Linked DNA regions of Cricetulus griseus. The protein of the gene in region 4 purifies or fractionates together with the protein of the main gene of each other region. This does not show direct contact. Links are inferred from orthologs where the notes say so. Each region holds a gene or a part of one and is shown on either strand. Other genes may lie near its edges.

The links.
Region 1: the proteins of Mepce (region 4) and Ccnt1 purify together in Homo sapiens (affinity purification with mass spectrometry; 3 studies listed by BioGRID and IntAct, with this or other methods). This does not show direct contact. The link is inferred for Cricetulus griseus from reciprocal best matches to the Homo sapiens genes MEPCE and CCNT1.
Region 2: the proteins of Mepce (region 4) and Hnrnpul2 purify together in Homo sapiens (affinity purification with mass spectrometry; 3 studies listed by BioGRID and IntAct, with this or other methods). This does not show direct contact. The link is inferred for Cricetulus griseus from reciprocal best matches to the Homo sapiens genes MEPCE and HNRNPUL2.
Region 3: the proteins of Mepce (region 4) and Lsm3 purify together in Homo sapiens (affinity purification with mass spectrometry; 3 studies listed by BioGRID and IntAct, with this or other methods). This does not show direct contact. The link is inferred for Cricetulus griseus from reciprocal best matches to the Homo sapiens genes MEPCE and LSM3.

What each region holds. Positions count from the first base shown.
Region 1 is NC_048595.1:395,039,409-395,046,722, reverse strand, and holds the start of Ccnt1 (cyclin-T1), read left to right. Parts: upstream 1-2,354; 5' UTR 2,355-2,467; coding exon 2,468-2,628; intron 2,629-4,654; coding exon 4,655-4,736; intron 4,737-7,314. UniProt on the Homo sapiens protein: Regulatory subunit of the cyclin-dependent kinase pair (CDK9/cyclin-T1) complex, also called positive transcription elongation factor B (P-TEFb), which facilitates the transition from abortive to productive elongation by phosphorylating the CTD (C-terminal domain) of the large subunit of RNA polymerase II (RNA Pol II).
Region 2 is NC_048596.1:51,266,816-51,274,073, reverse strand, and holds the start of Hnrnpul2 (heterogeneous nuclear ribonucleoprotein U-like protein 2), read left to right. Parts: upstream 1-2,591; 5' UTR 2,592-2,790; coding exon 2,791-3,322; intron 3,323-5,408; coding exon 5,409-5,544; intron 5,545-5,842; coding exon 5,843-5,919; intron 5,920-6,172; coding exon 6,173-6,312; intron 6,313-6,694; coding exon 6,695-6,785; intron 6,786-6,877; coding exon 6,878-6,990; intron 6,991-7,258. Other genes in the region: Ttc9c (tetratricopeptide repeat protein 9C), read right to left, coding at 922-1,159.
Region 3 is NC_048601.1:52,287,042-52,294,377, forward strand, and holds the start of Lsm3 (U6 snRNA-associated Sm-like protein LSm3), read right to left. Parts: upstream 4,732-7,336; 5' UTR 4,603-4,731; coding exon 4,582-4,602; intron 2,086-4,581; coding exon 1,975-2,085; intron 1-1,974. Other genes in the region: Xpc (DNA repair protein complementing XP-C cells), read left to right, coding at 4,868-4,961. UniProt on the Homo sapiens protein: Plays a role in pre-mRNA splicing as component of the U4/U6-U5 tri-snRNP complex that is involved in spliceosome assembly, and as component of the precatalytic spliceosome (spliceosome B complex).
Region 4 is NC_048597.1:116,679,174-116,686,481, reverse strand, and holds Mepce (7SK snRNA methylphosphate capping enzyme), read left to right. Parts: upstream 1-2,667; 5' UTR 2,668-3,063; coding exon 3,064-4,665; intron 4,666-5,560; exon of another isoform or gene 5,561-5,693; intron 5,694-5,791; coding exon 5,792-6,010; intron 6,011-6,487; coding exon 6,488-6,614; intron 6,615-6,709; coding exon 6,710-6,762; 3' UTR 6,763-7,298; downstream 7,299-7,308. UniProt on the Homo sapiens protein: S-adenosyl-L-methionine-dependent methyltransferase that adds a methylphosphate cap at the 5'-end of 7SK snRNA (7SK RNA), leading to stabilize it.

The DNA.
Region 1 (7,314 bases), on a different chromosome or scaffold from region 4:
GGCTTAGAGCAGACCCTTAGGGACAAGAATGCTGGGTGTATTTCACAATGCTGCTTTTTTTCTTCCAGCTTGCTAGAAGCAAGAGGGACTTTTATGTTTTGGTTTGGTTTGGTTTTTCTAAACAGGGTTTCTCTGTATAGCTTTGGAGCCTGTCCTAAAACTCATAGAGATCCACCTCCTCTGCCTCCTGAGTGCTGGGATCAAAGGTGTGTGTCACCACCGCCTGACAGGGCTTTTCCTCTTAACAATGAGAACTTGGTGAGGCTCCTGTATATATAACACAAAAGTGAGGCATCTGTTGAGGATGGACCTCCAAGAACTTTTTTTTTTTTTTGGAGACAGGCTCTATTAAGTAGCTCTGACTGTTAGGAACTCACTGTGTAGACCAGGCTAGCCTCAAACTCAGTCTCCCTCAGGGATTAAAGGTGTGTGCCAGCACTGCCTGGAATTCACTTTGTAGACCCGGCTGGCTTTGAACTTTGATCTTCCTGCCTCTGCCTCCTGACTGTGGGGCACACTACTACATATTGCCCTATATCACTAATATTTTACAGACACAATGAGCTTGTTAGGCATGTGGGAAGTTGAGCCCAGAATTTCATAAGGTCAATGCCTGCCTGGGTTATAAAGTAAGTTCAAGACTAACTAGCCAATTTAAAACAACAAATCAAAACAGGGCTGGATACAGCTAGGAGGTAGTGTACTGGCCTAGCATAAGCCCAGGGGTCTAAATTCAATCTCCATTGGTGTTGAAGGGAGAAGTGCAAAGAAGGCAGACTGAGAAGGTTTAATTATTTTGCTTAGGATGAAAAGCTGCTAGACCTGGAGCTGGGCTCCAATTTAATAGCCTCCTGAACTTAGAAATTTTCCATGTGGTGGTTGTGGAACTTTCCGCACTGTAGAGGCAGTTTTAGTTCATCCATTAGCAGATCCTAGGATTCTTTGCTACTTTTAAACTATTTCCTGTTCCTGTACCGTGCCTCAGTGCGTTTGGTACAGTCAGAGGACAACTTGCCAGAGTCAGTCTTGTCATCTACCATGGGGGTCCCAGGGATGGCATTCAGGTCATCAGTGTCTGGCAGCAGCCTCATCTACCTGCTGAGCCATCTCGAGGGGCCCCTCTTTCACATTCACATCTATACATATAAATAGACACACAGACACTCAAACACACAAAGTCCCATAGCACTTCTTGGGTAAAAATCAGAGACCCAAATGTTTGAGATGGACTGCCAATTCCCAGGCTAGTGGTGGCTACGGTGGGCTCTTGATAAAGAGTGGGGTCACTCACAGATCCGTGATTTGGGATAGTGTGAACATCAGAACTGAGCTGAACACTGCGACAGAAGCCTGGGAACAGACACCCTGGAGTGGACAGGAGGGTGAGGCGGACAGCAGCCCCAGCTTGCTGTTGTTCACAGCCCCACAAAGTAGACCTGGGAGTGAGTGCAGGGCACAAATGATCTCTTGTTCTCCTTCCCTTGATAATCTTTCCCTAAGGTTTGGGTTTCCTAGAACTATTGATCAGGCCAGCACTGGCGCCGGGCACACCCTTGGGACCTAATTGAAGGTTTGGAATCTGCACTGGCAAGCATATCGCTTTCACTGACAAAAGTACAGCAAGAGGAAAGGCCTCACCACCTAAGTGAAGTCATACGTAAGTCAGCAGTCCCGAGCCTGTCGTGGTGTCGCCTTTAATGCCAGCACTCAGGCGACCACTACCGGATTGGTGAGTTCCAGGCCTGCCAAGTCTACACAGTAGGCCCTGCCTAAAATACAAACAGAAACAAAGACAGATCTGCATCCCGAAACAAAATAAAAAAGGACGGATCTCCATCCTCAAGTAAAAACTCCCCAACACATCGTGTTCTTGGGACACCGAGGCATGAAATTAGCATCGTTGGGTACCGGCAGTGAGACGGAGGAAGGGCTGGTATAAATAGAACTGCTTTTCTCTGTGTAGCCCTGGCTGTCCGGGAACTCTCAGAGATCCCCCTGCCTCCGCCTCACCAGTGCTGGGATTAAAGGCGTGCGCCAGTAAGCAACGAAATCAGGAAAGCCCTGGGGAGAGACTGGGCTAGCGCAGCCTGAGACGGTCAAGGACCGCCGACAACGCGACTTCCGTACAGTTATCGCGGGGAGAGGCGAGATTTGCAAAGAACAAATTTTGAAGAGCGCACCGCATCCGGGAGTCGCGTGACCCGACCGCGCCTGCGTCTTGGCTGTGGCTTCGTCCCTAGCCGCGGACTGGCTGTGGATGCGTCTACGGGGTGTCGCAGGGTTCACTCCGGAAGTAGGCGTTTGAAGCCTAGACTTCCTGGGAGGAAGTGTGTCACAAGCTGGGAGTCGACTCTCCGGAGGAAGTTCGTCACGTCGCAGTTGTCTCGGCCCGGCGGATGTGTGTCGCCGCTTAGGTGACGCTGGGAAGTGCTTGCAGCCCCCGCCGCTGCCTTTTGGTTGAAGCACTATGGAGGGAGAGAGGAAGAACAACAACAAACGGTGGTATTTCACTCGGGAGCAGCTGGAAAATAGCCCGTCGCGTCGTTTTGGCGTGGACTCAGATAAAGAACTATCTTACCGCCAGCAGGCGGCCAATCTACTCCAGGACATGGGACAACGTCTTAACGTGTATCCTTGCGGCCTAGGCCTTCGGCCTTGGAGCCCGTCCGGCCACGCTTCGGCGTCCGGCCGGCCGGCCACGCCGGCGGGGACACGAGCGGGTAAGGTGGCGGCAGGAGCTGGACGTCTAAGTGGGGAGAGCCCACAATGGCGCTGGCCGAGCCACTGTTCGCGCGAGGGAAGTGAGGCGGAGTCAATTTCCCGCTCGCTCACCGGTGCTACCAGCCTGGCTGGGAATTCGGACCTCTCCGGTCTTTGTGCTTTCGCCCCTCCTTCCCAGCCCCTCTCTTCTGGATTCTCACCTGTTCTAGTGGCTTTTGAGAGTCTTTCTGCCGTGACCAAAGGCTCCGTTTAAGAGGTTTCACTATTGACGCTGACTCCCAAAGTGTGTAAAAAAGGGGTTTTATGAAGGTGGTCTAGAATTAGCGCCCCGGCTTTGGTTCCAAACCCGTTTTTCCCACTTGCTAGCTGTTTTAACTTGTCAAATTCTTGTTTTTCTATGTCCACCACAACACTTGAGTGTCAGTTGTTTAGTAGCTGTTTCATAGAATTTAAGAGGAAAGAAAAATGCCAACTTCGGTTTGTAGGGAAGTATAAATATGGAAATAATGTTTTAAGTATTCTGCAGAGTATTAAATTCTTGCTTCTCAGGGCACTAGAGATTATTCATTCGTTTTCAAATTTCAAAGATAAGACAATTTATTGACCCCCCTCCCGTTTTCATTCTTAAGAGAATGCAGTCATTTGTGATAAAACTAATAGTTTTGTTAAAACTCTTAGCATTTTCCATCTAACTTTCTTTAAGGTGCAGCTTCAACTTTATGTAGCATTTATTTAAGAGTGCTGAGGGCTGGATATGGTGGTGTTCACCTTTGATCCCAGCATTGGGGAGGTAGAGGTAGGCCAAAGCTACAAAGTGAGACCCTGTCTTCCAAAAAAAAAAAAAAATCTGACTCTAATGTTTAGGTCTTAAGGGTTATTTTTCTTCTAAATAGGTATTCTCTTTATTGGCCAGTTGTTTCCTATTGAAATCCAGTTTGCTTCCCTAGTATTCAGTCAGTGCACAATTAAACCTCTATGTTTCTGTATATGTTTAAGGCACTCTTTAAAAGTGTGTTTAACCTTGTTGCCGTCATATTGTCATCTCTATATAGATTGTTGCTGAAGTCTGGGAATAAAGCATGCTCTTTTTTTCCTGGCTAGAGGTATACCCACACAAACAAAAGACTCTGGTCTAACTAGAGAGAGGGAGGGAAGAGTTTATTTTCAGTGGATTACCACCATCAAATCATTTCAAATGTTTAGTAGTTTGGGAGTCATGTGACATTTCCTGGGAGAAGTAGAACTATGCTGGGCTTGGTGGTGCATGCCTTTAATCCCAGCACTTGGGAAGTGGAAGCAGGCTGATTTCTGTCTTGGTCTGAAGTCATACTGATTTACAGAGTGAGTTTTAGTACAGCCAGGGCTACACAGAGAAGCCCTGTCTCAACACTCCCATATCCACCCACCCAGCACCCAAAAAGGAAGAAAGAAAAAAAGTAGAACTAAAAAACTGATCTCTGGAGTTTAAATTATCCTTGTGCAAGCAAGATGGCCCAGCAGGTAAAGGCGCTTGCCGCCAAAACCTGCTGACCTGAGTTTTATCCTTGTGGCCCATAGGTGGAAAGATTCCTGCAAGTTGTTCTCTGACTCTGACTCCCAAACTTATGCTATGGCCTGCATCTCCCCTCCAAAAGTAAATGTAATTAGAAAAAAGTTATCCTGAACTAATAGCTCATCTTTGCAGAAGGCAAGTGACATGACAGACTTACACCTTGCCACTTGTTTTGTTTATTCAGTCATTGAGTTCTTATAAGTACTTGTTAGGTAGAAGACATGCTGTTGATTGTCAGTTAACAATTTAGTTAGTTCAGGAAAACAAATCTGTTTGATTTGAAGCCGTAACTGTTACCTTCGTGTAGGATTGTCTACTGTGCTGTTTTTTTGGGAAGGGGATTATCTTGTGTGTTGTTGACCCTTAACTTGAGTGCTTCAGCTCACAACTGACTATCAACACCGCCATAGTATACATGCACCGATTCTACATGATCCAGTCTTTTACGCAGTTCCATCGATATGTAAGTATAATTTTGTATGGTATAATTCTTTTGGGTTTGATTCTAGCTGTCTATTTTATGATGGTTATTGTTACTGGACTACAATTTTAATTTTACAATTCAGAGCTGGTCATTTTAAGGTTAAAAAAGTCATGATTTAAGTATAGCTTTCTACTCGGTAAGTTTATGATCATAAAAAGACAATGTAAGTTAGATTTTGCAAAACTTTTGATAAAATTCAGAGGTTAGCTGGAGGAAAAGATGTATTATGTGGTAATGACTGGGGAGATGACTTTTAGGAATGGGGAAGAATAGGGATAAAAGGATATTTTTTTCCTTGGACAAAGTTGTAAATATAGTACTGTTTTCAGTTTTGTTAAAACTGAAATGGCCTATTTAACAATTGGTGATTTGGAAGTGAATACCTAGTAATATTTCAGTTGCAGGTAAGACTATATTTGTTTAATTAAAATCCCAAGGTAAAGCTCGGTCTGTGGTGGTACACGCCTTTAATCCCAGCACTTGAGAGGCAGAGGTAGGTGGATCTCTGGTCTACAAAGTGAGTTTCAAGTCAGCCAGGGCTACATAGAGAAATCCTTTCTTAAACCCTTACTAACCAAGATAATAAAGGTTAATTTGAATAGATGCGTGGATTAGTGGGTCAAATATTCTACTATTATTTCTTAAAATCTTTGAGGAAACTTGTTTCTTTTTTTTTTTTTTTTCCGAGGCAGGGTTTCTCTGTGGCTTTGGAGCTTATCCTGGCACTCTGTAGACCAGGCTGTCTTTGAAGTCACAGAGATTTGCCTGCCTCTGCCTTCTGAGTGCTGGGATTAAAAGCATGAGCCACTAATGCCAGGCTGAGGAAATGAGTTTCAAATATAGGATAGTGCACCTAAAAAACTTGGTTTTAATATTGGGTGTGTTTGTGCTAGTGCCCAGAGGCTAGATGAGGGTACTGAATTCCCTGGAGCTGGAGCCACAGGCTGATGTGATCTACCCTAGGTGGGTGCTGCGTCAATTTACTGAGCCATCTCCAGCCCAGATAAGACATTTTGAGTTGTTTTGTTTTGATGCTATAAGAAGAAACTTTGTGAACCTAAATCTAATTCCTGTAGTGTAAGAAATTGGCAAAATCAGATTTAGGAGTAAAAGGAAAGAAACTCTTAGGATCTTTAGTTAAGTATTGACAATCTTGAATGATTAGTCAGTTTGGCTCTTTCCTGCCCTTAGCTCTCATACTTTTAATAAGCCTTTATTGAAGCTGTCTGGTAGCTCTGAAACAGAAGTAGTGAATAGAGAATGAAATTAAAGAGGAATTCCATATCTGTCTTAGAAATTTTGAAGATGTCAGCTTTCTTTCTGTCTTTCTTTCTTTCTTCTCTTGAGTTTAGAGCCTCACTATGTAGTCATGGCTGGATTTGAACTATCTAATTCTGGCTGCTTTGAAATTCCAAGTTCTGGCATTGTGGGCAGAGTCTTCTATTGCAATAAAGATTTGAAATTTAGGGCAGAATCTTAAATCAGGTTTTTCAGTCTGCACTTACGGGTTAGCCAATATTTCCCTCTTATTTAAATAACAGGCTTTTTTGGGGGGCGGTCATTGAGGCAGGGTTTCCCTGTATATCCCTGGCTGTCCTGGAACACACTTTGTAGACCAAGCTGGCCTTGAACTCACAGAGATCCACCTGCCTCTGCCTCCCCAGTGCTGGGATCAAAGGCGTGGGACACCACCGCCCAGCAGTAATTGGTTTTCTCTAGAGTATTGATTTTAGGTGTGTTTTAGAATTAGTACATCCAAAATGTTACTGTCTTAACACATTAATTTTATAAGTTGGCTGTAACTACAATTAAAATTAGATTTGAGCTTGTCAAGGTGATGCATGCCTTTAATCCAAGCACAAATCCTAGCACTGGGGAGGAAGAGGTTGGCAGATCTCCAAGAGTTTGAGCCCCAGCAAACAGTGGGTAAATATTAGCTGGGTTTTTTTTTGGGGGGGGGAGAAAATTTATATTCTAACCAGATATAAAAATACCTCTTAGTGTTAGATGCATGTGCCTGTGAACCCGAGTCACAGGGCTCCCAATATGAGGCTAACATTGGACAACATAGCTAGACCTTGTCTTTTTTAAGATTCTAGTCAGGCAGGTGGTAGTGGCTTATGCCTTTGATCCCAGCACTCGGGAGGCAGAGGCAGGTGGATCTCTGTGAGTTTGAGGACAGCCTGGTCCATAGAGTGAGTTCCAGGACAGCCAGGGCTGCATAGAGAAACCCTGTCTTGAAAAACAAAACAAAAAAAAGATTCTAGCCTAATGAGGTGGCTCATAGTGGGAAAGGTACTTGCTGTCAAGCTTAACAACCTGAGTTCAATCCCTGGAATTTACAAGGAAGGAAAGGGTGGATTGGGATAAAACCCAGGGCTTTACACACACCAGGTATCACTCTGCTAATTGAGTTACACTCCCAGTGCCCTCTTTTTTTTCTTTAACCCATCCATCTGTTGATAGACATCTTGACTAGTTCCATTTTAGCTTTTAAAGAAGAGTGGAAGGATAAGGAGGGTTGTGCAAGTATCTGTGGCATGTCAGACTTTAGACT
Region 2 (7,258 bases), on a different chromosome or scaffold from region 4:
CATAAAAACTGCCAGGAGTTTGGAGCCAGCTTGGTCTACAAAGTGAGTTTCAGACCAGGTTGGGCTACATACTGCGTCTCAAGAAAAACAAAAATAACTTTAAAAAGCAACCAGTATGAAATATAAAAGCTCTTGATAATATATATATAGCCTCAGTTTGCACTGTTAGAATGCCTTTACTATACTGTAAGTTAAGTTAATTAGTTCTAAGCTTGATTTGTCTACCATAGAAAAGAATAAAAGGTCTCTTGTCAATTAGGTTAATCCTAGCAGAACTGTTCTATCTTCATACAAAGCCATCTGGAAATGGAAGATACTACTTATCCAATGTCCTTGATTTCTACAAAAAAAAAAAAAATACAATCAAGCACAAGTAATCTACAGTATCTAGAGCCAGTAACTTGTTTCCCAAATGTTAAATTTCCTTTAGACAAAGGCACTTTTTTTCTACAGAAGGAAAAATGTTCTAAAGTTAGCAACATTCCTCCAGATAAATCCACTGGCCGTACCACCCTAGATGCACTAGATCAAAGTTTCTGGAGTTAGGGCCTAGGAAGTTGTATTTTCACAAACTCTAAGTTAGGTTTGAAAAATTCTGCCTGCTTAAGAGCTCTCTACAGATTGGAAACAGATTTCAATTCATTGCCCAATAATCAGATGACAGCGAAGATTGTAGTATTCAAAGGGCTCGATGGCGCTGTCTTTTTTGTTTGTTTCACCTTGTTTATTGAGACAGGGCTTCTCTGTGTAGCCCTGGTTGTCCCGGAATTCACTTTGTAGACCAGGCTGGCCTCGAACTCACAATATCACCTGCCTCTGCCTCCTGAGTGCTGAGACTAAAGGCGTGCGCCACCAATGCCCTTGTTCGGTGGTCAAGTCTTGATGCTCCACCCACCCTCCTGCCCCCCCCCCCACTCTTACCCGCTAGGTTGTTGTAGCAGTCTGTCTGGGTGGTGTGCAGTATGTTTTCTTGCTCTGGCGTGAGAGCTGGGCCCTCAGGTCCTAGATTGGGTATCGGGGAAGGCAGACTTGGATCCAGACCTCGCAGCTGGAGAAGAGCTCGATGGTACCGACTCACAGCATCTCGGTACTTCCCTTCCCGGTAGCGCTGGTTCCCTTCCTCCTTGAATAGCTGAGCCTCCTGCAGGCGCTTCTCCATGACTGTTAGAATTGCTAAATGGAAGATCAAAAGAGGTCGTGGTGTTGGGATCAAAATTATTGGTCTGGGAAGTCTATTTTGTAAGCAAAAAAAAAAAAAAAAAAAAAAAAAAAAAAAAAAAAAACACTCTCCTTTAACTTGAGCTTTGATGTTTTTACTGCAGTTCTATCTATCCTGTTTTCAGTTTCCAGAAGTTCCACAACAAAAGGAATAATGAGGTAGTGAAGCCATAGACCAAATGATTTCCAAAAGAAGAGATCCTGGCGTGAGTATAGACTCTAGGAAGATTTAAAGGCCCAAGTACAAATGCCAAGTGTTTGACCGCCGCAAAATTCGTTTCCTTTTCTCTGAGACACACCCCCTGACCTGGAAGAAGATGGAGTAGGCGGGAACAACTGAAACAAGTCAAAAAGGCTTCGCTCCTTCCCAAGCTCTTTATTTGACCTTATTCAACAAGCATTTGTTGATGTCTCTGCTGTTAATTAAGGAACCGAAGTGAATGAGGCCTGAACCTCCCAATCTGCAGGAGAGACAGATGTCGCATGCACAGGCAAACACAACAAGCGCAAGACTGCAGTGGCCCAAGCCCGGAAGTTTCCTCCAGGGATTCAGTTTAAGAGCCGCAGCACCGAGAGGAAAAGAGCCGGCTTCCCCGCAGTTTAGCATCTAATGGGGAGCGCGCATTGCGTCACTTCACCCAATCAGAAACGAGTCCAGAAAAGTAATCCCGCAAAAATGACCCCGCCTTCCCAGCGGACCAACCCGGAAAAAAAAAAAATTCCCGGCCACTTCTCCAATAGGAAAAAAAGCCGCACGATATCAGATGTCCAATCACAGCAACAGACTACGATTCAAGATGGCCAATGAGAGAGGCTAAGGGCGGGGTCGGAGCTTCTGTTGCTGGGTAGAAGTTTAAGCACAGAAAAAGACCCGGGCATTGCTCGCTCTCGCTGGAAAACCCTTTGCCTACGAGCTACGAAAACAACTGCTCTGCGCCAGGCAGCCCTCCGGCTTGTCTCGGTTGATGACTTTCAGAAGACGCAGTGAAAGAATACGGAAGAGACGACATCAAGTAAGACCTAGGGTGCCCCGGCGAGTGGGAGCGAGCAGGAAGTAAGAGTACTGACAGGGTGGGCGGGGCTCCGGCGCGACTGCGCAGAGCCTACAACCGAAGGACCGAACGAGGGGCACACACACGCTTCCGTGCTACGAGGCACTTGAGCCGCAGCCAGCCTTGCCGGAGCAGGTTCCTTGCGGCTGCGCAGTCATGAGGCCTCCGCTGATTGGCCGGGGCCTCTGAGGGGAGGGAGGGAAGGAGAAGTGAGGGAACTCGGTCGTCCTCAGCGCGCGCTCGCCCGCCAGCCCGCCTGCCCGCCCGTCCGCGGCCGAGAGCCGACTTTCTATCACTTGTTTGGGGCTCAGTGAGCCGCAAGGGGCAGGGCCGAAGGAGGGCGACACAAACACGCCGCTGTAACCGCGCGGCTCCTGCCGCCGCCTGCGTGCGCTTACGAGCGCGAGTACAGTGCTGGCGCGGGAGGCGGAGGCGGGCGGCGGCGGCGCCTGCGCGGTCGGGCTCGGTCGACAGTTCGCAGGGGAGGAGGCGGCGGGAGGCGGAGGAGGCGGCGGCGGCGATGGAGGTGAAGCGGCTGAAAGTGACCGAGCTGCGGTCGGAGCTGCAGCGGCGGGGCCTGGATTCGCGCGGCCTCAAGATGGATCTGGCGCAGCGGCTTCAGGAGGCTCTGGATGCTGAGATGCTGGAGGACGAGGCCGGCGTTGGCGGCGCCGGGCCCGGCGGGGCCTGCAAGGCGGAGCCTCGGCCTGTGGCCGCGTCGGGCGGAGGCCCGGGCGGGGACGACGACGAGGAGGACGACGAGGAGGAGGAGGACGAGGAGGCGCTGCTTGAGGACGAAGACGAGGAGCCACCTCCTGCTCAGGCGTTGGGCCAGGCCGCGCAGCCGCCTCCGGAGCCCCCGGAGGCGTCAGCCATGGAGGCCGAGCCCGAATCTTCCGACGCACCGGCGGAGGCCACGGCTGGGTCAGGTGGGGTAAACGGTGGTGAAGAGCATGACACCGGCAAGGGGGAGGAAGACGGGCCGGAGGAACGCAGCGGGGATGAGACGCCGGGATCCGAGGCACCGGGTGACAAGGCCACAGAAGAACAAGGTGAGGAACTTGCAGCAGAGCCAGGTTCCAACCCAGCCTGGTGCGTCTCTCTGATCCAGCACCCCACCCTGCACCGCGCCATCTGATTCCTTGTTTCCACTTGCCGGAAAGTGCACGGGTTCCGTGGCTGTTTGATGGGATTCCCCAGGGAACGTGGTTTTCATCCACTGCCCATGTTTTTTGAGGGTTTGGGTGCCTTGTTGCTCTCCTGTTTGCAGGAGGGAGGTTTCTGCCTAACGTGGTTTCTTGGTGTTAGTGGATGGAAGTGTGTGGTGTGGCATGCGTGTGTGCCTATGTCTGTGTCTGTGTGTACTTTGGAGCTACCTGTGGATCAGTCTTCTGGTGCTTCCTCTTTAGCTGAATACCTTTAGCAGAAAATGTAGTGAGAAATTGGCGATCTGCAGGTACCAGTTAGACGCTTAGGGCTTCGACCTATCTGACAGTTAATTTCTTACAGTGAGAATGTTAAGCAGTAAACACTCTGTGATGTGTTTTTCTGTCAAACTCCCGTTAGAGCTTAAGCCTTACAGAGACTGGGTAGCTAACCTTGCTCCTTCCTGCTTGGCGGTAGTAGACGGTGTCTAGTATGAGCCTATTGCGTTTAATCATTAACTAGCAAAGAAAAAGTCTTAGTAACTTTTAGTAGCATGTTAGTTGCTTGAATGAGGCTTTTTTACCTTGTCCCTCTTGTTTTTATATCTTAATTCTCCTTCCAAGTCAGTAAATGGGCGTATGTTTAGACTTACTCTACACCGGTGCCTTTAAGGCTCTTGACTTCCTGAGCTGAAATGGTTGAGGGGTTTCTAGTGGGTCAGTTGAGTAACCTTGTGGTAGAAAATGTGTAGAGACTTCCCCTGGGAGTTAATGACCTTTCTCCTTTCTTTTGAAATGCTTGCCTGGTTAGAGCTAATCCATAGTGTCTGACTGTCAGGGGAAGGAGAGCTGCTTCCAAGTCTTACTTCCAAGGGGATTGCCTTAAGTTTTTTATATCTTTTTTTTTTTGTTTTTTTTTTTAAGGCTGTTAGTGTCATGTAGTTGGAATCTATTTTACAATGATTGAATACAAAGTATAGTGTTTGGGGGGGTTGTTGTGTCTTATGTCCTGGAACAAAATTCCTATTACATAACCATTAACTTGTGTGTATCCTAAATAGCAGATAAAAAGCATTCACAGATAAGAGAGTACTTTAGAGGAATTGTTGAAGAAGACTTTTTAAGCTTCAAAACAAAAGCCTAAGGGAAAAAGAAAACGCTATGTGTTACTCCTTGTAAAGAATGCTGCTGTCAGGCTTAGTGGCACATGCATTCAGTCCCAGCACTTGGGAAGCAGAAGCAGGCAGATCTCTAAGTTGAGGCCATCCTGGTCTACATTGTGAGTTCTAGGACAGCCAGAGTTACATAGTGAGACCCTGTCTAGAAAAAAAAAGAAAAGAAAAGAAAAAAAGAATGTTGCTAAATATCCACCACCACCTTCCTGCCCCAAATTCCATGAAGTGAAGCTTTGGTGTTATTTATGGTTCACTTGTGACTTACTGATTTGCACTGGTAGCTTTCAATTAAAATACCTGTTAAAAATTCAGCTGCCATTGTGTGGCTGTGCATTTTAATGCAGAAAAGTAGTCTCTTAAAGAAAATATAAGCCTTCTGTTCCATATAGCTGTTGAAAGGCATTAGAAAATAGTCATTAAGTACTTGCCATAAATACAAATCTGATGAGAATTGAAATTCACCTGTGAAGGTTTTCAAACAACTTCAGGGATATTTTCCTTTCTTATTAGTGGGGAGATCTGCCATGTTGGCTTGAATGAAGTAGATAAATTTAGAATGGAAAAATTGCCCAACTTTTTCTATTTCTTGACTGTATTTAGCTCACTGTGCCCCTCACCTTAACCAATGAAAAGATAATTGGAAATAAACCATTACATACATACATGCATACATACATACATACATACATACATACTAGGAACACTTTGAATCAGATACCCTCAATTTCCCATATTGGTTAACTCAGATTCTCTTAGTTCTGAGCTTATTCTCTGCTCCAGTATAAAAACTGCTGATTTTCTTTCCCTCCCTTTTGTAGGAGATGACCAGGATAGTGAAAAGTCAAAACCAGCAGGCTCAGATGGTGAGCGGCGGGGGGTAAAGAGACAGCGGGATGAGAAGGATGAACATGGCCGAGCTTACTATGAATTCCGAGAGGAGGCTTACCACAGCCGGTGAGGGAAACACTCCCTTGATGGGAATGTCTGCTCTGCTTTTGGTATTACTGGTGTTGATTGGACAGTCTGGAAGGAGGGGTGGATTGAAAAATGCAATAGGTCTTTGTAGGCATAAAATTTAGAGTAAATAAGTCTGTGATGGAAACTCCTATTTTTTTTTTCTCATTGAATGAAAGAAGCTGTCTGCTGGAATTTGATAATTCACTGATACTTTAAAATGGGCAGTGCCACACAAATAACCTCAAAGAAAGTAGCTTTGGGTATATTGCATTTGCTCTCCTCTCCTTACCTGTAGCTCGAAGTCCCCACCACCTCCAGAAGAGGAAGCAAAAGATGAAGAGGAGGATCAGACACTTGTGAACCTGGACACGTGTATGTATAATACAAATAATTTGTTTTTTGAGAATAGGGCCTTGCTATATATTCCAGGCCCTCTTCCAACTTGTGATCCCCCTATGTTAGTCTCTGGAGTGATCTAAAAATGAGTTTTGAGAGTAAAACTTAATGGTCTGATTATTTGGACAGTTTTTGTGTCCATTCATGATAACTGGGCATAATGGTGCTCTCAGCACTTTATAAGTGTTGAGCTTTGCAGTAAACTAGTCACATCCTTCTTTCTTAACAGATACCTCGGATCTCCATTTCCAAATAAGCAAAGACCGATATGGAGGGCAGCCACTTTTCTCAGAAAAATTTCCTACCCTTTGGTCTGGGGCAAGAAGTACTTATGGAGTAACAAAGGGAAAAGTATGCTTTGAGGCCAAGGTAAGGGACTCTTTAAAATCATTTATTAGTTTAAATTGTGTATTGGACTCCTGGCCGGTATTTTATTAGTTCAGGAAAGGCACCCTGCTTAACATACCCTTAGCTCTGAGCAACATATTGACCCGTATGGCTTTGTTTTGTTGTTTGTTTTTTGTGCTTGGAGTTGAACCCAGGGCCTCATACATGTTAGACACTTTATTTCTGAGCTACATCCCCAGGCCTACAACTTTGGTCTTTGGTTCAGGTTTAATGAAAGTTGTTTTTCTGATATTGAACTGTGATTTTTTTTTCCCCCAGTTTGTATACAAATCTTATCTTTGTAACTCAGACTTTGTACCTGAATTGGTCAAAGTACCTGAGACTTCCTTTCTAACTTGACCAGGTAACACAGAATCTCCCAATGAAAGAAGGCTGCACAGAAGTTTCTCTCCTTAGAGTTGGATGGTCTGTTGATTTTTCCTGTCCACAGCTTGGTAAGGTTATATTTTAGCTTCTTGCTTGTGTTTAACATATTGCTGATTCTGTGGAAACTTTGCAGATAGATATTGATTGTTGTCTATCATAGGTGAAGATGAGTTCTCTTATGGTTTTGATGGAAGAGGACTCAAGGCAGAGAATGGACAGTTTGAGGAATTTGGCCAGACTTTTGGGGAGAATGATGTCATTGGCTGTTTTGCTGTAAGTATTCCTGATAATTGTGGATTTGTAGCAAAGGGTAGATAAAGGCTGAGAGGATTCGGCTATACTCCCTATCTACTGGCTTTTATACATTGGATGCATTGCTTGGTTATTGAGTTGTGCAGTAGCCCCAGTATTCATTTGTTTGCTTATTTCCACATGTATGGGGGGGGGCATATCAAAGTGTGTATGTGAAACTCAGAAGACAGTCTGTCCTTAGACCATGTGAGTTCTAGGGACCAAAGTCTTGTCGTCATGTGCCTTTACC
Region 3 (7,336 bases), on a different chromosome or scaffold from region 4:
TCTCAACCTCATGTATTCAGGTAGTGTCTCTCACTTGAACACAGAGCTTTCAGACTGTCTAGCCAGCCAGCTTGCTCAGGGATCCTATCTTTGCCTCGAGAGGCTGGAGTTACAGGTAAGCCACCATACCCGCCTAGTATTTCCATGTGTGTTGAGGATCTAAACTCTAGTCCTCATGCTTTACCCAGTGACCATCTTTCCTACCTCCACTTTGCCCATTTATAACCTGTCCAGAGCTTAACGTGCTTGGCCTCTGGAGGCTCAGCCAGGAAGGATTGAGACCACAGTTTTCAGTGCAACCTTCAAAGTTCATTCCTTTTACTAAATGGCAAACCTCCTGGGGCCTGTTCAGAACCCACTTACATGTTCTTCTAACAAAATGCTAAGTGGTTTGCCTGTTCATATCAAGATAAAAATAGCCTAACAGCCACATTGGGAAGGAACTGCTTGGCAGCTAGACAAATGAGCAAATAAATGTTCAGCTGAAGAGCAGGAAGCAAACAGAAAGGTGGGCCACTTAGTACGGAAGTACAAGCTAAAGACACCGTCTGGCCTGGGGTGTCATTTCATGTGCCAAAGACCCATGTAATTTAGCTCCATCCCACTTTTCTCGTCAAACGGACACTGCTGTTTGCAAAGGCTAGCTTGTAGATCAGTGACCCGATTTCCTTCCCAGCCCCAGAGGCTCCCTGTCCTCAGGAATCATGGAAGGAACTATCATAGTTTCTGAGAGGGAGACTGAAGCACAACTGCCTAGTGGATCTATCACTGGCAGGACAGGGCTGTCTCTAACCCTAAAGTAAGACTTGGCTCAATTCCGTGTTGTAAACCAACAGCCCTAGGAAAGTAAAAAGTTAAGAAGAGACAAAACCGTAATTCCACAGAAGTCATAAATGTGCACAAGTAATAATATATAAAAGTGAGTAATACAGTCTCATAGCTAGGGGGAAAAAAAAGGAAAAATGTGACTGTTGCCTTATATAAAATCCTGTGTAGTAATCATCTATCTAACAGTCCATACACACACAAAAGTCACATGGAAAAAGTGCTAAAAATATGTATATGAAGCCGTCACAGACTTTCAAAACAGGGTTTCACTAGGTAGTCCAGACTAGCCTCGAACATCTGATCTTCTTGCCTCAGTCATCTAAGTACTGGAATTACAGGCACATGTCACCATACCTCACTAGGATCTCCCTTTAAACACAGTCTACACACATGCAGAAAAGATCTGGAAGACTCTGTAACCAACCCTGAATAGTGCTCATCCATAGTAAATGGGACTTCGCTTTTAATCCTACAGATTTCTATGCTACTTAACACTTTTTGTAGTGCTAGGGGCTTTGCTCCGTGTTGGGCAAGCACTCTTACTAGTGAACTGTATCTCCAGTCTGTTTTCAATAACTAAAACAACAACACCCTCCCCAAAAACCAAGAACAGAGGACAAAGCCAAGGATGGTAGTGCATATCTATAATCCCAGCTCTAAGGAGATGGAGGCAGGAGGATGTTGACTTTAAAACTAACTGGGCTGCATGGCAAGCCCTTGTCTAAAACAAAGACAAATAAGTTTATTCATAAGTAAACAGAAGGTAAGATTGAAGGAGGTAAAAATGTTCTATAGGGTTGGAGAGATGCTCAGGTTAAGAGTACTGGCTACTCTTGCAGAGTAACCAAGTTTGGCTTGTATATCACCCATATCATGTCTGTAACTTCAGCTCCAAGATATCTCTGGGCTCCGTAAGCACGGGTACATCCACACAGCCACATGTACACATTCTTTCTTTCATAAACCTCTGGTTAAGGAAAAATATTTTAAAAATAAAGGATATTCATATTGTCTAAGATTTTCCAACTCCCAAAAGAAACTACATAATTCAAAACAGTATGTTTGTGTTGCAGTTCTTAAATCTGTAAGGAGGTAGGAAGGGATGATAGGGAAACATCTGGTTTTGAGATAATTTAAAAGACTTACATGTAATCTGCCTCGAAGCTCTCGGTCGTTTCTCATCTTCACATAAATTCGCTCATCCAAACTGAGCCTGATGAGATCCAGGGGCTCCTCTACGGTATTGGTAGTCTGTTGCTGATGAAGGAAACACACTTAGTAATGGACCACCAGAGGCAGAGTGGTGTTTCAATCACTGTTAAGCAGTGAAACCAAGGGCTAGTCACATAACCCGTTTATACCTTAGTCTAATTTGCCAAATGCAGAAAATAGTGTCTCCCCAATACTATTATTTTAAATGACATATGAAAGCTTAGAACGGTGCCTCGATGCTATGTAAAAGAGGAGAAAAACATTATGTGGAGAGGAGTTAAGTAGCAAAATGATGACTGAACTTCCAAAAAATCCAAAGTGTTAGAGTACCACTTAGGAACCTTAGCTTTATCTTTTGTATAATTCAATCATTTGAAAAACATACCTGCAATACCTATTCACACACTACTAAAAAGATCTGACAGAATTTGAAGTCAGTACAGCGCAGGTTAAGTTTAGGGTGCTAATTGGCTGGCAAGATGAACCTACCTACCGAGTAGTATAGTATAGAAGTTAAAAGAACTGAGTCATTAGGAAGCCTTTGTTCAATTCTGGGTTCTGACCTGGCTCTTCTGAACTGGGATTAAAAATCATGCCATTTCTTGTTTCAGACTCCTCATTTGCAAACTGGGGAGACCACATCTTTGCCTCAGAGATCTTATAAGGACTAAAGGGTCTATCTGAAGTAAAAAGGAAACACTTCTAAATAATTACCTTTTTTTTTTTTTTTAAGAGGCATGCCCATGACAGCCTTTGATGAGCAGCAAGTCTTTGCCTCTCAGATGCTGGGATTGGGCAGGTATGAACCGAGTCTGGAACTTTTAAGAGTGTGTGTGTGTGTGTGTGTGTGTGTGTGTGTGTGTGTGTGTGTGTGTGATGGGGTTCAAGTAGCTGTCAGAAGACAACTTTATAAAGTTCTCTCCTTCCTCTGTGTGTCCCAGGAATTGAACTCAGGTTGTCACGCTTACAAACTGCAAGCATTTTTACCTGTTATCTTACCAGCCCCACTCCCAGCACCTGTAATTTCTTATATTTAATATAATCTCTTGCTTGCTTCAAGATTTAAGAATGCATTCTTGGTCAGTCATTTCAGAGGAATGATAAATCAGAATTACTCTTCAAGAACTGTTGGAACAGGTTTCAAAGGTTAGAACTGGGATGACCTGGATTCAGCTATATGAAAGAGGTGGTTCCAGCCATCAAGAATTAGTAAGACCATTCAGCAAGCTTCTCCAGTGAGTACCTGGGGTCAGTGAAAGCTGAAAATTGTAGGCTGTGTAGATATGAGGCTGATGACAGGAAACAAACAACCCTCCCAGAACACCCCCAACCCCGGATCTCAACTGGTGCTTTCCTCCTCCCACCTTAGCTCAGCAGGCTTTTGTTAAGAAATCAGACAACCAACCACTGGATTACAACAATACAGAAGCCGCATCCCCTCAATGGAGCTCACTCTAGTATGGAGAGGGGCATATAAATACATAGCTGCAAAACAATGAAATCTGTTCCCACGACAGCCCTCTTCAGTCTAGGATGGCCACTGTCAATCCTTTTCACCCTGTAAGCTTTACATTCTGCCTTTTCAAAGAAGCTGCCCCTGAACATTGGGTTCGTTCCCTCAACTAATAACCTGCTGAGTGCTAACAGCACTGTCCTAAACCTAGGAAAGAAAAGCAAACACAGAAAACCCCCCTTTATTTTAAAGGTTTACTTTTATCGTGTATGTGAGCAGTTTGCCTGTATGCATGTGCACCACACGCTGACACAGTGCTCGGTAGCAGAGGCCAGAAGGGGGCAGAGGATCCCCTCCTGCAACTGGAGTTAAGATGCGTTGGGGTGCTGTTAAGCCAACATGTGGGTGCTGGATCCCAACCATGGTCTTCTACAAAAGCAACAAGTGCTCTTAACTCCTAAAGCAACCTCTCCAGCCACCCCCGCCCCAATGCCCCTATTAAGTAACTTACGTTCTAGTTATGGAAGAAATGTCTCAGATAAAGAAATACATATTTAAAATAACATGCTCTGTTATTTTAAATACCCGTGTGTGGGTGCGTGTGCGTGTGAGGGAGTGCAATCATTTCGGAACTCCACAGGTAGCTAAGGAATAGGGGGAAGAGCAGGTGAAGAGGGCAGCCTGTGATCCTGTGTGCACCCGATCTTGGCTTGCTTTCTCCAGACTACATCTCCACCAGGTTCTCTACCTCCCTCCCTCCCTCCTACTGCACTCCAAGTGAGCCGCTGCCTGCGCACCAGGCGCTTGCACGTATTACAAAGCTGGTGTCCACCACTACCTCACGCTTTCTGTCTGGTGTCGACAGCCGTTTGCATTTTACAGATAAAAGCCGATGCCGAGCGTGATGGGCAGATAGGCGGGTTGAGAAAACTCTAGGCCTGCGGAAGTTTCAGGAGCCGGCGCGGCTACGGAAGGCCGTGGTTCCTCGGGACAAAGAGAGACGGGCCGCTTCTCAGCGAGCGTGGAAAACGCGAACCCGACCTGGAAGCGCAAGCGCTTCCTCTAAGAGCGCCTCCGGACAAACTTACCTGATCTACGTCGTCCGCCATGTTTCAAACGCTGCGCCCTTTCCACCTCTCGCGAGAACAGGCACTCAGAAACGCAAAGGGTTCCACTCTCGGGAAGTAGACCTACTTTATTTTTGTCCCTTTGCGCCCCTGTAGTTTGCAGGGGGAGGGGTTTCTCCGGAGGGCGTGGTCCCAACCTGGTCAGGGGGCGCGGCCCAGGCATGGCCCGCCTCGGGGCGGGGCGAGCACGCGGAGAGTGTCTGCGGCCGGCTGGCTGCGGTAGCCCGGAGTGTCGCTGCCGGGCAGCATGGCTCCGAAGCGCCCTGCGGGAGGAAGGCGGCGGGGGCGCGGCCGAGAAGCCGAGAACAACAAAGCAGCCCGGCCGGAGGAGAGCGAGGCGGGTGAGAGGCTGCGGCGCGCAAGGCGATGGTGGCGGAGGCTGGGGCGGGCAGCGGGGCGGAAGGTCTCCACGGCCGGATGCGCGGCGCCCCGAGGGCCTCTACCATCAGCCCTGACCCCACCGTAACCCCTAGGACCAAGTCCAGCCTCTTGGCAAGTGTTGAGGGCCGATCAGGAAAAAGCTTCCCTGTTGCCCGGTGTCAGAGAGACACCAAAACTAGGACAGAGGGAGACCTTGTAGTGTGAGAATCTCTCTCCAAGTTGCATCCACTGTAATTCCGGCCCCAGGTTTGCGATGCGCTTCTTACCTTGGTCTTGAACCAAGGAGAAGCTTAAAATATTCCCATCTCAATAAATCACTCCTTCACCCACCTGTTAAAACACGCCTTTTCTTAACTGCTAGTTCGTCAGGAGGTCCAGTTCAGCTTCGGAGTCACTGAAATATGTGCCTAATTCTCTTAATTTCATAGCTGGTATCCTGTTCCTGTCGTTTTCTAGTTGAGTGAGTTCCCCTCTACATCAGATCTCCATCCAGCAGCCAAGTGATGTAGAACGACAACAAAACTTCATATGCCTTGGTCTTCTTACTTAAAACCTTCTTAGATGTGTGCTCTCCGTGTATAGCATCTACCTCACTTAGCATGTCTCTCTTCCAGATATTCTTATTTTAAACAGCAGCCCGGCCTAGAGCTCTGGGTTTTTCCTGTCTCATCCTCATGATCACAGGGATTACAGATGGCTCTTGGTGACTGCCTTTCTCTTCTTTGAATATACTGTTTATTTATCTGGAGGCTTGGCCTTCCATGTTTCTTTGCCTTAGAATGTTCTCCGTCGCTGTTGCTGGGTCTAATTTCTTCTCTACTTGAGGTCTAAGACATTCCACGGTCATCTTAAAGTAGTCATTCCTAGGTATCCTCCACCACAGAATCACAGTGATGTTCCTATTCACCTATCATTCTACAGTCATCTTCATTTCTGATTGTTTGAGTACAATGTAAGCTTCATAAAAACAAAGCTCATTTCCCTTCTTAACCTATTTTGTTCTTTCTCTTGTTTACATCTCTGAAAAAACACTTTACTATTTTTTTATTTTATGCATATGTTTTTTGCATGCATGTCTGTGCACAATGTGTGGGCCATGCCTGCAGATGTTAAATAGATGAGGGTGTTGGATTCCCCAGAACTGGAGTTACAAAAGGTTGTGAGCTGCCATTTCGGTGTTGGGAATTGAACTTGAGTTCTCTTGGAAGGGCAGCAAGTGCTCTTAACTGCTGAACCATCTCTTTTGTCCTGCAAAAACATTTTTTAAATATGCAAATGCATGCTGCTAGAGAAGGGCTATCTAGGCCTTCTAAAATAACTAGATAAAAAAAACTTGACTAGTTGAGTGACCCCTATACCCACCCCATAGCTCCTACTACCTTGGAATCGGATTACATACAGATTGTAAATTCATTGCCCACTAGGAAACAGTAATATTTCCTAAACATTAGAGGCCTTAGCTTACTCTACACTTAAGAAACTTCACCGTCTTCATTTACTCATCTAAGCTAAGACATTTCTTGAGCATCTGCTATGTGGCGTCTGCCAGTTTGGTAGTTTCTACATGGAAAAGTTGAGGAGCACTCCTATGCATGCAAATGAAGATGAGGCTTAGCTCCTTTTGATAGTTGGGAATAAAGAACATCATCACTTACCTTGTTGTCCAATAGGCTCCTCTTCATATGTTTTTTTTTTCCTCTGTTAATGTCTTCATTGGGAAATTCATTAGTTTCTCTAAGTATTTATTCAGTGATTTCCAGCCACTGCTCTAAGTACTGGGAGTATACTAGTAGACGAAGCAGGCAAGGTTCCTGCTATTAGGATGCTGATATTCTTTGGGGAAGCGAATAATGTTAACATAATGAGATTTAAAAAGAGAGAAAAAAGAAAAGCAAATTCACATGGTGATGAGTAAATCCGGTTGCTCCCGTCAGACTGCCATAGGTCTGGGAAGAGGCAGTGTTAGTGTCCAGGTGCTGTAGCCAATTTGAGCTCTACATTGGAAGTGAGGTGGTAAGTACAAGGGGGGTGTCCGATGCACAGAATGGGATGCTTAAAGACTCTTGGCTGTGCACAGTATGAAGAGATGAACTGTGGAAATAGAGGTGATTGCAGGGCAGGGACCTCAGCCTGAAGATCAAACTAAGGAATTTGAATTCTTCTTGAGTGCCTTGGGGAGTTCTGAGAAGATGTATAACCTGCCCTTAAGTCTCCATAGCTCAATGAGGAAACCACAGTGCTAATTCTTGAACTGCTGAAATGACTGAGCTCAAGGAGACTGGTTAGGTATGCTAGATGCTCTTAATTTTGGAAACTATTCTGGAGATTTGTTGAG
Region 4 (7,308 bases):
AGGGGAGATGGCTTAGTGGCAGGGGTGCTTGCTGCCAAGCCTGATGACCTGCAATTGATTCCAGAGCCCATATGTTGGGGGGGAGGGGAATCAGGTTGTCCTCTGGCCTCCACATGCTCTATGACATGTGCACACACACGAACACATAAACACACCCCCACACAACAAATAAAACACATTTAAAATTTTCATTTCTTTTAAAATGGAGTTAATGGCCTTTTGACATCAATGTCTAATAGCCGATGAACTCCTGCCTATTCTCATGACTCGATTAACTGTTTTTGTTTTTTTTAAGTTCCCTTTTGAGCACGCATGCTCTAGAAACTTTAAACATTTAACAAGAAAGACGAGTCCATCTACCCTGGCCAAATTTACTTTCAGAAGTAATTATCCAAGCTAAACTTTCAACAGAAAGTTTCAAATACAATCCATGGTTCTGGGCCAGAGGCTTGGGGGAGGGGGAGAAAAAGCCGAGCGGCGGTGGCGCACGCCTTTAATCCCAGCACTCCGGCGGCAGAGGCAAGCAGATCTCTGTGAGTTCGAGGCTAGCCTAGTCTACAGCGTGAGTTCACAGAGAAACCCTGTCTGTGGGAGACAAATAGCAGGGGGTGGGGTGTCGGCAAAGATATGGTTGGTCACTTATGAGCTAAACAGTTTTTTTCTTTGGCGGGGGGGGGGGGGCGGTTCTTGAGACAGGGTGTCTCTGTGCAACAGCCCTGGCTGTTTCTATGACCAGGCTGGGGCCTCGAACTCACAGAGATCTGCCTGTCTCCGCCTCCCAAGTGCTGGGTTTAAAGGCGTGCGCCACCAACGCCTAGAGCAAAACAGATTCTTTCCACAGAGCAGATGTGCTTTCTATTGTTGACATCGCTCTCTGGGTTGCTTCCATTCGCGCCGCCCTCCCCCCACCCCACCCCTCCCCCGGCCCCGTCCCCAGGGACGTTCTCGCTTCAAGGATCATGTGTCCTGTGCCTTCCTCAGCAGTTCTCTCTGGAACAGGCACTCAGACAAGCCGCGCCTCCGAGCGCCACGCGGCGCTTCGTCATCCCCTCCTGCTGACCAGGAATCCCACCGTGAGCGCCTCTTCCCCTCAGCTCCCGCTCAGCCTCACTGTCCCTCAAGTCCTCATTTCCCGCCACGACACTGGGTTGTTTGTGTTGCGAGTGTTCTGGAAATCAGGGACTCTGAGAAAGGGGTCGAGTCGGCTGCAGCTCTCAACGGAAAATTTCTCCTCAGCCAACAGGTACCAGGATTCACCGCACCTAACACGCTCCTCTAGGGCGGGATAAAAGCAGCCAGCTACCTTCTGGGGCGCCGAGGACCTAAAGACGAGGCGCAGCCTACGCCGTCGCAGCCATTCCGCACATTCTTCCACCTCGAACTACTTTTCCCGCCACCAGAGCAGGCGCGAGGACACGGACAAACCCCGCCCCCGAGCGGCGTGCCTTCAGAGATGATGCGCATGCGCAGCTGGAAGCCGCTTTGCGAATGCGCAGCTGGCGTACACCGCCATCTTCCAAACTAAAGCCGGCTGAAACTACAAGTCCCATAATCCTCGCGGGCGCCGGTTCTCTCCACCCCCACCCCATATGCAGCAGAGCGCCTGAGGTACTTGGTTCCGGTATCTCTGCTTCCAATCGCCTCCCCATTCCTGTGTTCATCACACACCCCGCATCCTTTCGTTTCCCTCACGCTTTTATACTTTGTGTGGGACCATCTCCAGCAACACTCTTGCCTCTGCCGCGCTCTTGTCTGACACAGTCTGTTGGCGGGGAAACTCCGCCTGCCGCCACTCTGGGGACTCGGCAGCGAATGCGTGCTTCCCATTGGCGGGAGCGGAGGGCCCAGGGCGAGCCGTTACCCTTCCCGCCCGCTCGCCCGGCCGCGCTGGTGTGTGAGGTGCTGCAGGAGCCGCCGGCGCCAACAACGCCACCCTCGGGCAAGCGGCTGACGCGCAGGCGTCGCACCGTGGCGGAGGCGTCCGCCCCGAGCAGGTGTCGGGCGTCGGGGTTCGCCGTCGGGGGAAGAGGAGGCGGGTTGCGAGAGACCGGCCTTTTCGGGGGGGGGGGACGTTTTGGTGCAGTCAGAGACTGTGTAAAATGGTGCACTGCACTTTGCTGGTAACGGCTCCCTCGCCTACTTGGGTCGCTCTCCCTCCTCCTCCCCCTCCTCCTCCTCCACTTCCTCCTCGCAGTGAGACGGGCGGAAGGAAGGGGTAAAGAGATCACCCACGAGCCCGCCCCTGCCGCCGGGGCACGCACGCCGCGTACCTAACGTGAGGAAGCGACGTCACACGCCCCGCCCCCAGGGCTGAAGGGGCGGGGCATCGCCTCCTGCACGTGTCGCCCCTGGTACCCGCGCAAGGCGGAAAGCGCCGTGCGCAGGCGCTCTCCCGGAGGGGCGGGGATGGGGGAGGAAGGAGGCGGGGCGGGGAGGTTGTTGGGTTTAGAGCCGGGCGGAGACGGTGGAGCCTCATTCCTCAGCAGCAAGGGTCGGGTGTCAAGGAGACCTGTTCACACCGGCTCCGGTCCCCGCCTCCGGTGGGTGGGAGCGCGCGGCAGAGACAAAGGCTATCAGTAGGGCTGGACAGAGCAGCGAAGGGAAGTCGGGCGTCCGTGTGGGGAGGGGGGCGCCTCGGGCTGGGGGAGGGCGAGGTTGTTAGGGAGGGGGGGCTGCATTTAAACTCTCGGAGCCGTTAAGTTGGTGCGCACTCCCGATGCGCGCACAGCCCGGGTGGTGGCGGAGGGCGCATGCGCGGGCCCTGGACGAGAGCCCCGCGCGCCCGTCGTGCGCGCTCGCGCCAGAGTGGTAGTGGCGGCGGGGAAAGGGTGGCGGCGCACGCGCAGTTGGGTCCTCGGCTCGCCCGGGTCTCGCGGGCATCTTGTTTTGGTCTCGCGGGCGAGTGGGGCGCGCTTGGTGTGTCGCGGGCGGGGTTGTGGAGGCGCTTGGGCGCGAGGCAGAGCTGCGCGCGCACTCGGGGAAGGGGAGGGTTTGCAGGGGGCTTCCCCTCAGTCTCTTCTCGGTCCCCTCGCTTGCCAAGGGGGAATCAAACGGGGAGAGGAGATGATCGAGATGGCGGCGGAGAAGGAGCCCTTCCTGGTGCCGGCCCCGCCACCGCCGCTCAAAGATGAGTCGGGCGGCGGGGGCGGCCCCGAGGTGCGATCGCACCGGGAGGCTGCCTCCGGGGAGCTCCGCGACGGGACGGAACGCGGGCCGGGCCCACGCGCGCACTCGGCCGGGGCCGCCGCCAGCGGAGGGGGCGGCCCCCAGGCACAGGCGCCCGGGGAGCCCCACGGGCGAGCCGCCGCGCCTGCGGACGTGGGGGAGGAGCGACGGGGAGGGGGCGGGACGGACCTGGGTCCCCCGGCCCCTCCTCGACCTCGCAATGGCTACCAGCCCCACCGACCCCCCGGGGGTGGCGGGGGCAAACGAAGAAATAGCTGTAACGTAGGGGGAGGGAGCGGTGGAGGCTTCAAGCATCCGGCCTTCAAGAGGCGCCGGCGAGTGAATTCGGACTGCGACTCGGTATTACCCTCCAATTTCCTTCTGGGGGGCAATATATTTGATCCGCTGAACCTGAATAGCCTCCTGGATGAGGAAGTAAGTCGAGCGCTCAATGCAGAGACCCCAAAGTCATCCCCACTTCCGGCTAAGGGGCGAGACCCTGTGGAGATCCTCATCCCCAAAGATATCACTGACCCGCTCAGTCTCAACACTTGCACTGATGAGGCCCATGTAGTTCTTGCCTCGCCACTCAAGATTGGTCGAAAGCGCCATAGACACCGGGGACCTCACCACCAGCAGCAGCAGGCGCCTGGAGGGAGTGACAGCCACGCCGCCCTCCCCACTGACCCTCTCACCCCCTCACTCCATGCGGAGGGTGCCACCACGCAGCAGCAGCAGCAGCAGCAGCACAGGGGCCAGAACCGAGATGCCCCTCAGCCCTATGAACTCAACACAGCCATCAACTGCAGGGATGAAGTTGTGTCTCCCCTTCCATCTGCCCTGCAGAGTTTCTCAGGCTCCCTTTCTGCCCCTCCAGCTGCCTCAGTTACCTCTGCACCCTCATCTTCCTCCTCCCGACATCGAAAACGACGCAGGACTTCCAGCAAGTCGGAGGCAGGGGCTAGGGGTGGAAGCCAGGGTTCCAAGGAGAAGGGCAAAGGGAGTGGGGGAGGCCGTCATCACCACCCACTCCCTGCAACTGGCTTCAAAAAGCAACAGCAAAAGTTCCAGTATGGGAATTACTGCAAGTACTATGGCTATCGCAATCCTTCCTGCGAGGATGTGCGCCTTAGGGTGTTGAAGCCGGAGTGGTTTCAAGGCCGGGACGTCCTAGATCTGGGCTGCAATGTTGGCCATCTGACCCTAAGTATTGCCTGCAAGTGGGGCCCAGCCCGCATGGTGGGGCTGGACATTGATCCACGGCTTATCCACTCTGCCCGCCAAAATATCCGACACTATCTGTCTGAGGAGCTTCGTCTCCGAGCCCAGACTTCTGAGGGTGACCCAGGGACAGAGGGGGAGGAAGGGACTACCACTGTCCGAAAAAGGAGCTGCTTCCCAGCCTCACTGACAGCCAGCCGGGGTCCCATCGCTGCACCCCAAGTGCCCTTGGATGGAGCGGACACATCTGTCTTCCCCAACAATGTCGTCTTCGTCACGGTAAGAGAATCCAAAGGCTCTTGGAATAGGGTTCAAGTGTGAAGATGAGATTAAATAGTAATGTGTTGGGGGAAAGGTCATGACCTAGAGGTGTATTCCTGCATCTGTTCCTCCTACAAGAACCATCTTCTGGAGAGAACAGTCTGCATTGGCCAGAGAATCTCTACTGGGTGTGTTGTCTATCCTATAACCTGGAAAGTGGGATCTCTACCTGCAGGCTCTTAACATCTGGTCTTATGACTACAAGGATCTCATCCCCAATACAGGGGCTGACTTGTCCTGCTTCCAGTGGGAACTATACCAGACAATCCACCTTCCCTTGAGGGTTACCTCTACAGCTCTGTCCAGATGGAACCCTGTCCTCAAATCTCCTGAGGGAGCTTGAGATTGGGTGTCTTTGCGGGAGGAGGAGACTGGCACTCCAGTATGTGTAGTTTGGGGCCTTTGATAGGGACCTTGTTGTATGTATCAGCTGCTTTTTGTTTCCCTAGATACAGGACAGACTGGGTCAGGAACCCAGTAGGCTTGGCTTTCCGTCTTTCCCGTGCTGACTCTGAATAGCAGGAGAGGGGCGGTGAAGGGAGGAAAGAGTAGCCAGCCTGACAGAGCATGTGTCCCTGTCTCTACTAGCTTCTTCCATTGAGCAGTTAGGCCATCCAGAGGAACATGTGCCCATGGCTTATCCTGAAAACATGTCTTCCCAGGGACTGGGAAGAGAAGGTTTCCTGGGTTTTTAATTTCATTGAAGAAATAGACCTGAAGCATTAGCAGACCCTAGTGGGAAGAACCTCAGTCTTTAGGACTGCTGCCTGTGTATATGAGGGCTGGGTCTTGGGAGCATTCCAATATTCTTCAGTTATCCCTCAGATAATTAGTTCAATTTAAATCTGCCCAGGCTCCCTTTTAGGTTTGTTTGGTTTAGCACCAGGAGGAAGCAGAGGCAGGAAAGGGAGAAGAGACCATGAGACTGACAGAAGGCGCTGTCGAGAGGAGCCTCAGAGAAGAAGGCCACCAAGGGCCCAAGTGAGGTTGTGTGTAGGACTTTGTCTCAGAGTCTGCAGGTGGTTGTGGGGCCAGTGGTACACCTCTTCCTTTTGTGACCTCTTTCCCATCTTCTGGCCCTCAGGGTAACTATGTCCTGGACCGAGATGAGCTGGTGGATGCCCAAAGACCTGAATATGATGTGGTGCTCTGTCTCAGCCTCACCAAGTGGGTGCATCTGAACTGGGGTGACGAGGGGCTGAAGCGCATGTTCCGCCGCATCTACCGGCATCTCCGCCCTGGCGGTATTCTGGTCCTGGAACCCCAACCATGGTCCTCCTACTGCAGGAGAAAGTCTCTCACCGTGAGTTGGGTTTCTGTAGAGATAGGGGATAATCATCTTTTTATTTTACTGTGGATTAAACCCCAGACCTCACACATAGCAGGGAAAGTGAGCTATAGCCCCAGCCTGTTTGTTTGGGGGGGGGGATTTGTTTTGTTTCTAGACAGGGTTTCTCTGTGTAGCCTTGGCTGTCTTGGAATTTGCTCTGTAGACAAGGCTGGCCTTGAACTCAGAGATCTGCCTGCCTCTGCCTAAGTTATGCCAACCACCCTCTTTATTTTGAGACTGGCTGAAGCTGCTGGCCTGAACTGGCTCTGTAGTGCTGCAGGCTGGTCTTGAACTCTTCATCCTCCTGCTTCAGCCTTCTAAGTACCCGACATGACTTGTATGGCTTGTACCACCATACCCAGCTCAGACTTTCTGAACAAAGACAAAAGGTTGTCATGCTTGGCCAGGAAAGAGAAGTAAGTTGAAGTAATCCCTCTCCTATTTCCCCAGGAAACAATCTATAAGAACTACTTTCGAATCAAGCTGAAGCCAGAACAGTTCAGTTCCTACCTGACATCCCCAGAGGTGGGCTTCTCCAGCTATGAGCTTGTGGCCACACCAAGTAACACCTCCAGAGGTAAGAATGGCTCTACTTTGTCTCTGGGAGGAGAGGGTGCTGGCTCTGTGAAGAATCTCAAGGTCCTACCCACCTGCCTTCTGTATGTTCTTTAGGCTTCCAGCGTCCTGTGTACTTGTTCCACAAGGCCCGTTCCCCCAGCCACTAAGTGGCCTTCTGGACAGAAGGTGTGAAGAGGCTACCCTTGCTGCTCCTGAGGACCTAGGGAAGAGGAAATTATCCCAACCAAGGTCTTTCGTGTCTGGCTCCAAAAAGTTTCCTTCCTTGGATCTGTAAAGAGAGCTTTTCTCAAGTTGCTTCCCGAAGTCTTCTCCCTGACACCTCTGGCACTTGAGCAAGCCCAGCTGTGCTGGAATTACATCGGCTTCCTCTCCGAGCCTGCTGGGCTGGATGGCATGGACTGTTTGCTGACTCTGTCCTCCTAGGGCATGGGAAGGGGGAATGTCAATTCTCTAGGCCCTTCCTCCTGTTCTCCGAAGGAGATTCCTGCTTCTCAGCCTTTGTTCCTAGCTGCACTTAAGTGGACCATGGATGGACTAAGGGTGTTAGAGGGGAAGTTTGGTAAGGAGACACACAGGTACTGTGAAAATCCTTCCTTCTGCTGTCCCCCGGTGGGAGAGGGAGCTGGGTTTGGAATGTGAGAACAGCACAATAAACTTGATAACTAGGGCCGTGGCCCCTGCACCTGTGTGTG